Linked DNA regions of Caenorhabditis elegans. The protein of the gene in region 1 purifies or fractionates together with the protein of each later gene. This does not show direct contact. Each region holds a gene or a part of one and is shown in the gene's direction. Other genes may lie near its edges.

Region 1 (3,922 bases):
ACGGAATCGCCCGTGAATACGTTCGTTTGATGAAGTACGCCGACTCGCTTTATCGTTGCAAAATGCTCAAAAGAGCCGCACTTGGACGTATGGTCAAGCTGCTAAAGCGACAAAAGTCCAGCTTTGAATACCTCGAGCAGGTCCGTCAGCATTTGTCTCGCCTTCCAAGTATCGATCCAGCTACTCGTACTCTCATTCTTTGCGGATTCCCAAATGTCGGAAAGTCTTCATTCATCAACAATGTGACACGTGCTGATGTTGAAGTTCAGCCATATGCTTTCACTACAAAGGCTCTTTATGTTGGACATCTTGACTATCGTTTCCTCAGATGGCAGGTAAGTATTAAGCGAATTTCTTTTGAACCTTGATAATAATTCACTTTTCAGGTTATCGATACCCCCGGAATCTTGGATCAGCCACTTGAGGACCGTAACACCATTGAAATGCAAGCAGTTACCGCATTGGCTCATCTGAAAGCATCAGTGCTCTTCATGATGGATGTTTCAGAACAATGTGATCGTAGTATTGAGGAACAACTTCATCTCTTCGAATCGATCCGTCCATTGTTCGCCAATAAACCAGTTCTTATTGGTTTGAACAAGGTTGACATCAGACATCGATCTGATTTGCCACCAGAGAAAGCTGCATTGTTGGATCAACTGGAGAAGGAAGGAATTCCAATTATTGAGACATCTACACTTACACAAGAAGGAGTTATGGGACTCAGAGATCGTGCTTGCGATGAACTTTTGGCCCAGCGTGTTGAAGCTAAAATTCAAGCCAAGAAGATCACAAATGTCGAGGATTGTGTGCTGAATCGCGTATTCGTCGCCTACCCGGCTCCACGTGACGAGAAAGTTCGTGCTCCATTTGTTCCACCAGGTTTGGCCGCAAAAAGAGCTCAGAAGAAATTGCAAGAAGCTCAAGAGCTCATGGAGACTGATGGAGATGAGTTCGCAGCAAAAATTCCACAAAAACCAGGCAAAATTGGAAAGGAAAAGATTGCAAAGGGTGGATCCCAATCCACCGATCTTGGAGATCTTCGTGATGAGAACACCCGTCGTTTGGAGAGAGAAATTGAGTTGGAAATGCAAGATGATTATATTCTGGATCTTAAGAAACATTATATGCTGAAGAATCCTGATGAGAAGTACGATATTGTTCCCGAAATCTGGGAAGGACACAATCTTGCTGACTTTGTTGACCCGGAAATCCAGTCAAAGCTTGAGAATCTGCTTCGCGAAGAGGAGCTCTTGGAGCAAGCCGGAGAGTATGAATCAGATTTGGATAGTGATGATGAGGAGACCAAGGAGAAGTTGAAGCTTGCATTGCAAATCCGAGAAAAAGAAAAACTGTTGACTTTGGATCATGCCGTTAACAAGAGAATTGCCGGAAGAATTGGTTCACGTATTCATGGTTCAAGAAAGAGAGATCGATCAATGTCTAGATTAGAGAATGAGCTCGGAGAGTTAGGTGTAGATGTTGACACGAAGAAAATGAAGAACTTGCAAGGACAATGTGCCAAACCACAACTTGGAAAGAAGGTTTGTGTAGAACCGAAATCTATAATTTCGGTTTCAAATTAACATAATTTTTCCAGATGAAAGTGGGTCGCTCGCGCAGTCTCAGCGCCGTCCGTCCGGCTCCACGTGATGAGTTGGCATTCCCAGACGAGGAAAAACGTGCACATGTCGACAAGTTGCGTACGAAAGCAATGCGTGGATTGCGCCGAGAAGCCAAGAAGGGAGAAGCCGATCGTCACGTATACGACCTCAAGCCAAAGCATTTGTTCTGTGGAAAACGTGGAAACGGAAAAACCGATTGGCGTTAAGAACATATATATCTTTTGTTCATTTTTTTTTTGTTATTTTTGTTTTGTTATTCTGTTCGTTTTTTTTCGTCTCCCTGCTTTTTATTCCTTCCAAAAACTGTATACCCATCCATCCATTTTTACCTTCTTCTCACTGCGTCAATCGGCTTCTCGCCCACATGAGTTTCCCGAATAAAATTCTTCCTGATATTTTTGTAGATTCTGAATTATTTTTTTTCTTCGATATTGCACATTTTTTAGCATTCCGTTGAATTTTTCGCTGTATTAGAAAAACTATTTTTTAATTAACTCTTCAGATGGGCAAAAAAAGAAAGATTACGGATGAAAAGGATGCTCAACACGTGCCAGCTGAGAAACGAGAGGTTAATATCACATTTTCAAAGAAACGTAGTTCTCAAACACAAATTAATTGCAGAAAGTAGAAAATTGGTTAAAGAAATCTACGGAAAAACCAACAAGTTCACAATCTGACGCTGAAAAGAAAAAGAAACGTCCATGGCGTAATAAGGTCCGTAAACTTGCCGCAAAAAAGGCAGCAGCTGACAAGAAATCTGAAAATCCAGAAGAACCTCCGCTGATTCTCGAACCAAAGAGTTCTTCGGATGAAAATACGAAAAAGAAGAGAAAACGGGGCCCAAAAAAGAAGAAGTTCAAGCCCGAAGTTGCTGGAAAAGCTGCTGAAACTGAAAATGATGACGTGGCAGCAGCTCCAGAAGAAGCAGATCCAATTGCAGAGGCTAAAAAGAGACTTGACGCGGGACGATTCAGATTTCTGAACGAAAAACTCTATACATGTACTGGTTCTGAAGCATTTGATTTCTTCAAGGAGGATCCGACGGCTTTTGATCTATATCACAAGGGATTTGCTGATCAGGTAAACATTAATTGGTATCTCAGTTTCACAACGAAGCCTTTAAAATGATATATGTGCCATTTGAAGGTGTTCCAAGAGTATATGTTAAAGGTGGAGTAGCGCCAGTGGGGAAATTGCTTTAAAACATGCAAACATATGGTACCACAATGACCGAATATCATGATAAAAAAATTCAAAAATTTTTTCTAAATTTTATATGATTTTTTGAAAATTGAAAAAATCTCAGTTTTTGCCTAATTCCTATTTGAATTACCGCCAAGTGGATTTGTTCGATGAAGCGCGCTTGCACGTTTTTAAATTTATTTATTTTGTTTTTTGTTGTTTTCCACCGATTTTTAATGTTTTCGGTGTATTTTTGCTCGAGTTTTAGAGAAAAAGTCAAAATAAATGAAAATTTTCGATTAAAAAGCACGCTTTTCTCTAAAGTTCGAGCATACACCGAAAAGAATACACCGAAAACATTAAAAATCGGTGAAAAATAACAAAAAATAAAATAAATAAATTTAAAAACGTGCAAGCGCGCTCCATCGAACAAATCCAATTGGCGGTAATTCAAATAGGAATTAGGCAAAAACAGATTTTTCAATTTTCAAAAAATCATATAAAAGTTAGAAATTTTTTTGAATTTTTTTATCATGATATTCGGTCATTGTGGCCCCATAGGCATGTTTTAAAGCAATTTCCCCACTGGCGCTACTCCACCTTTAATGCAAAATTTTAAACGGGAAAGCTATACTCTCAACCCCTAAAATGAGCGAGAAAACTTTGTCTTGTCAGTTGTGAACTCTCAAATTTTCAGGTAAAAAAATGGCCAAATCACCCACTCCGCGAGATTATCCGCTGGCTTCAATCCAAACCGGATCAACAATCAGTATTCGATTTGGGTTGTGGAGAGGCTAAAATTGCAGAAGCCGTTGGAGAAAAGCATAAGGTTCATATAATTCCCTGGAAAAATCACATTACATTTCTCATGTTTTTTAATAGATTCGCTCATTCGATTTGGTTGCAGTGAATGATCGTGTTGAGTCGTGCGATATGTCGAAACTTCCAGCTGAAGATTCATCAGCTGATATTGTTATTTATTGCCTATCACTGATGGGAACAAATCTTTATGATTTTATTCGAGAAGCTCGAAGAGTTCTTAAAATTGGGTAAACAAGCATTTCAATTTAAATATAAGCAGACACCGTAACCGAGAGTGCCTTTTTCGATTTATC
Region 2 (3,922 bases), 9.6 Mb from region 1:
TATAAGCATTTGTGAAGAACGATCAGTGTGAATTAGTACGATGGAACACTAGTTAAAAAAAATCAATTGTAGAACACGATGTGCTCACTAAAAAACTCCATTTCCTGCTTGAAGCTTTCCGCTCATAGAGAAAAATAGACTACACTTTAATTAATAATCTTGAAATTCTCGTGGTAAAAAAATACCTGCATAGTTACTTTTCACGCCACCTATGCCTGCCTTGTGCCTTAACTTGTGCCTACTTGGAATTTTCCTTTGACTGTTTTACTCGTGTCTATTGAACTTGCTACAAAAGTAGGACAAAAACATTAGAAGTTGGCAAAGTCTTCGTGATTTTTTTTGGTTTTATGATTTAGTAGGCTGGCTGCTCTAAAGCAGGCAGGTACTATAGAAGTCTTAGTTTTAAATTTAAGCTGGGATAGGCTTAAAAATCCAAACCAATTTCCGCACAACTAAAACAGAGAAACACATAGAAAAGCTCCAATTTGTTTCTCATCTCAACCACAGTTAACTTTCTCATATATCTATCGTAAATTAGTAAAACGTAAATTTAAAGGCACACACTTATTTTCTAATTGCGCCTCGCCACGATTGTACTTATTTATTTACCCTTTGAAATTTGAAATTTCTGAAAATAAACACAGGATTCACTATCGCCTAAATTCATGTTTTCTTGAGCTAACGACATACCAAAAAGTACAGCCTTTTCAAAAATCCTACCTGATTTTGAGAGTCCATTTTGGATCCATTCAATTCCTAAATGTTCCCTTAATCGATCTCTTTCAGCTTCGTATCCAGGCATACATGCTTCAACTTCTTAAATTTTCAACGATTATTCTAGTTGCTTTTTTAGAATTCAAAATACCTGTAAAGGGTATAAACCCAAAAAATACAGTAAACAATAATAAAATTGTCATCTAAAATTTGGAGAATTAGAGATATGTAGTAGAAACTGAAAATCTTAAAAGAATTGGTGGTTGGCAAGAGGATGGTGGGAGGCGAATGTTATCGTTTCCTGAACAAAAACCACGCTCCTCCCACTTTTTTGCATCCTCTGAGAAAATAAGCTGGAGAAAAGCCAAGAAGCAGATACTGTCTTTCTCTCTATTTCTCTTTTCGTGTTCATTTCTGATATAAATGCATAAATAGAGGACGATCTTGTTGCGTAAAAAGGAAAAGAGAATGAAAGAAATAGGGAGAGAGAGAGAGAGGACAGCTACTTCTGATGCAAAAACAATTGCGGCAATTCATTGTGACTCTGAAAAGCGGGATTTGAATGACGAGAGAAGTGATTCTCGGTGTTGAGGAATAACGAAAAATATGAATATGTTTCACTGAGAATTCATCCGAATTTTAATATATTCAAAGATTTCACTTCTAGGAAGCATGTTCTTCTGAACCAACATAGTTTCAAAACCTTATTGAGGTTGTCGGGCACTCTCCCCGATAATTTACATGCATGCATCATCGCTGTTTATACATGATTCGAAACTCTCGAATGAAAATTATTTAATTTTTCAAAGACCGACATTTTTTGAAAATGTATAAGATGTTCTTTGGCAGTTTCCAAAAAGTTAGGCAAGTTCACTCTGCGACTCTACGTCCCACATGCTCTCTCCACAGGAGGCAAGTGCGCCCCAGTGCACTGCATCCTCTAATTCTTTTTTTATTCATTCAATTTTTATTTCCAATTTCTGTATTTCCGTAATGATTTTCCAATATTTTATAAAACTTTCATTGTAAAAAAATTATAAAAATAATTTTTCACCATTTTACAATTACTTTCATCCGTAAATCAAGTAAAAACGGGGTTCTGTTCAAAAAACAGTATTGGAATACTTGTTGAAGCCAATACAGTTTATTCAAATGGATTTTTCAAAATTTGTTACTTTTCTATTTTAAGACAGTTCAAATATTACTTATTTTTTAGAATTCCAATAATGGATGTCGACTTGGCAAGCGTCGAAGTAGTTTTCGCTCAGAAACTCGCTTGCGGAGAGCCAGCTACGCGTCAAAGAGCTCTTCGCGTTCTTCACGATTGGATTCGTGATCAGTCCGCAAAGAAACGTGAGTTATTTTCCAACTTACATATAATTGTTAAAAGTTTATATTCAGATTTCGATGATGCTGACTTGATGCGCTTATGCAAGGGCCTTCACTATGTGATGTGGATGCAAGACAAAATGATTCTTCAGGAAGAGCTGGCTGACAGAATTGGAGGACTTATTAATATTTTCACATCGGAGGAAGAAAAAGTACGCTTTGTTGCGTGCTTTCTGAAAAGTCTTTCCAAAGAGTGGCCTCATATCGATCGATGGCGCATGGATAAATTCTTGATGGTAAATTTGTAATATTCCTTCGTCTAAAATGTCGTTGTATTTTAGGAAGTTCGTCGTATGGTTCGAGCTTGCTTCACTCATCTTGCCGAATTAAAATGGAAAAAGGATATCCGTGACGAATACTGGAAAGTTTTCCAGGAAACTACTATCTCCACAGGTTAGTAGATTTGTTAATTTTATTCTCATTATATTTCGATTAATTTTCAGATAAGTCCTTCAACGAAGCTCTAAAGTTCCATTTTGCCTCGATTCTTCTCGACGAACTTGATGCAGCCGGAGGATTAACCAAGAAGCAAGTGACGGCCTGTCTCAAGCCATACATTGAACTTCTCGGAAACAAAGACATCAGTGAATATTTGTTCACATCACTTTATGAAGAAATTTTCAAAACTATTCTCCAGCAGAAAAGTGATTTGATCACCGCTGTTGAAGAAGGAGAAGAGATGGATCAAGGTGGAATTGAATTCAGTTACAAGGAAATCGGAGCGTTGCTATTTGAAGTGGGAAAGCAAGAACATTTAAATGCTAAGAGAAGAAAGAAGATCTATGATCTTGTTAAGAAGTTCGATAAGAGTTCTCGTGGACAAGATCCATTACATTTCGAGACCCCAGTTCCAAAGGAGAGGTTGACAAGACATGATTATGAAGAAGCCGAGAAGAAGGCCATTGTGTTGGCCAACAGCTTCAAGCAAGAGAGAAAGTCGTCCAGAAAAGTTAAAAGGTACACTTATAGGCGTATTAAGCTGACGAATTTATTGTTAGATTTATCGTGAAATGTAAAAACTTTAAAAATAAAAATTTTTTAAAGCCAAATCAAAAAGCGAGCTCGTGAGGCTGCCGAAGCTGCACGGCAGGAGAACGGAGATGATGTTCCAGATGACGAAATCGCTGAAGTTAAAAAAGGAAATGGAAAGAAAACAGCAGTTCCTAAAGTGAAGAAAGGGCGCCCACTTTTGAAAGCTAAAGGAGTCGGAAAGAAGAGAATGGTCGGCGGCCTGAAAAGAAAAGCAGGAAAGAAAAATTAATCTGAATATCATTGTTGCTTGATTTGTTATGTTTTTGTTATAATTTCAATTTTTGATGCATTGTTACTTTTTGGAAGTGATTTTTTTATTGAATTTTTAAAAATAAAAAAAAAACAATTATTTACAAGTAGATTTAAAACTGAATGCTGCTAGCTCCTCCTGGAGGAATTGCTGCCCTGACTGGAGCTTTCACAACGATGTTCGCATTGGCATCAGGTGTCTGCAGTGCCGATGGCTCATATGGAATTCGGTCTATTTTCACAGGTTCCATAGCCTTCTTACGATTGTCAACAGCTGAGAAGACGATTTGAGAGTCTGGAGCCAAAGGAATGAATTGTCCTGAACCTTGAACAGTTTTCAGTTGACCATTTGCCCAAACAGTACGTCCTCGGGAAATTGTGATTTCTGGAACTCCGTGTACTTGCATTCCTTCGAAAATATTGAAGTCAATCGCCTTGAATTTTTTGCATTAAAATTGAATTTACTAAAACCTAAAACTCACATGATGATGTGTATCTTTTGAAATAGTTCTAGTTGCATTCGCATTCCAAATCACAA

Evidence for each region.
Region 2: the proteins of rrp-8 (region 1) and rrp-1 fractionate together in Caenorhabditis elegans (co-fractionation; one large-scale study listed by BioGRID). This does not show direct contact.

What each region holds. Positions count from the first base shown.
Region 1 is NC_003282.8:394,418-398,339, forward strand, and holds the start of rrp-8 (Ribosomal RNA-processing protein 8), read left to right. Parts: upstream 1-2,127; coding exon 2,128-2,193; intron 2,194-2,246; coding exon 2,247-2,705; intron 2,706-3,504; coding exon 3,505-3,636; intron 3,637-3,689; coding exon 3,690-3,856; intron 3,857-3,922. Other genes in the region: nog-1 (Nucleolar GTP-binding protein 1), read left to right, coding at 1-335, 387-1,544, 1,601-1,831.
Region 2 is NC_003282.8:9,980,285-9,984,206, reverse strand, and holds rrp-1 (Ribosomal RNA processing protein 1 homolog), read left to right. Parts: upstream 1-1,930; 5' UTR 1,931-1,940; coding exon 1,941-2,067; intron 2,068-2,115; coding exon 2,116-2,339; intron 2,340-2,384; coding exon 2,385-2,496; intron 2,497-2,546; coding exon 2,547-3,060; intron 3,061-3,147; coding exon 3,148-3,364; 3' UTR 3,365-3,473; downstream 3,474-3,922. Other genes in the region: mam-2 (MAM domain-containing protein), read right to left, coding at 721-816, 866-917; dhp-2 (Dihydropyrimidinase 2), read right to left, coding at 3,498-3,818, 3,867-3,922. UniProt on the Caenorhabditis elegans protein: May be involved in the generation of 28S rRNA.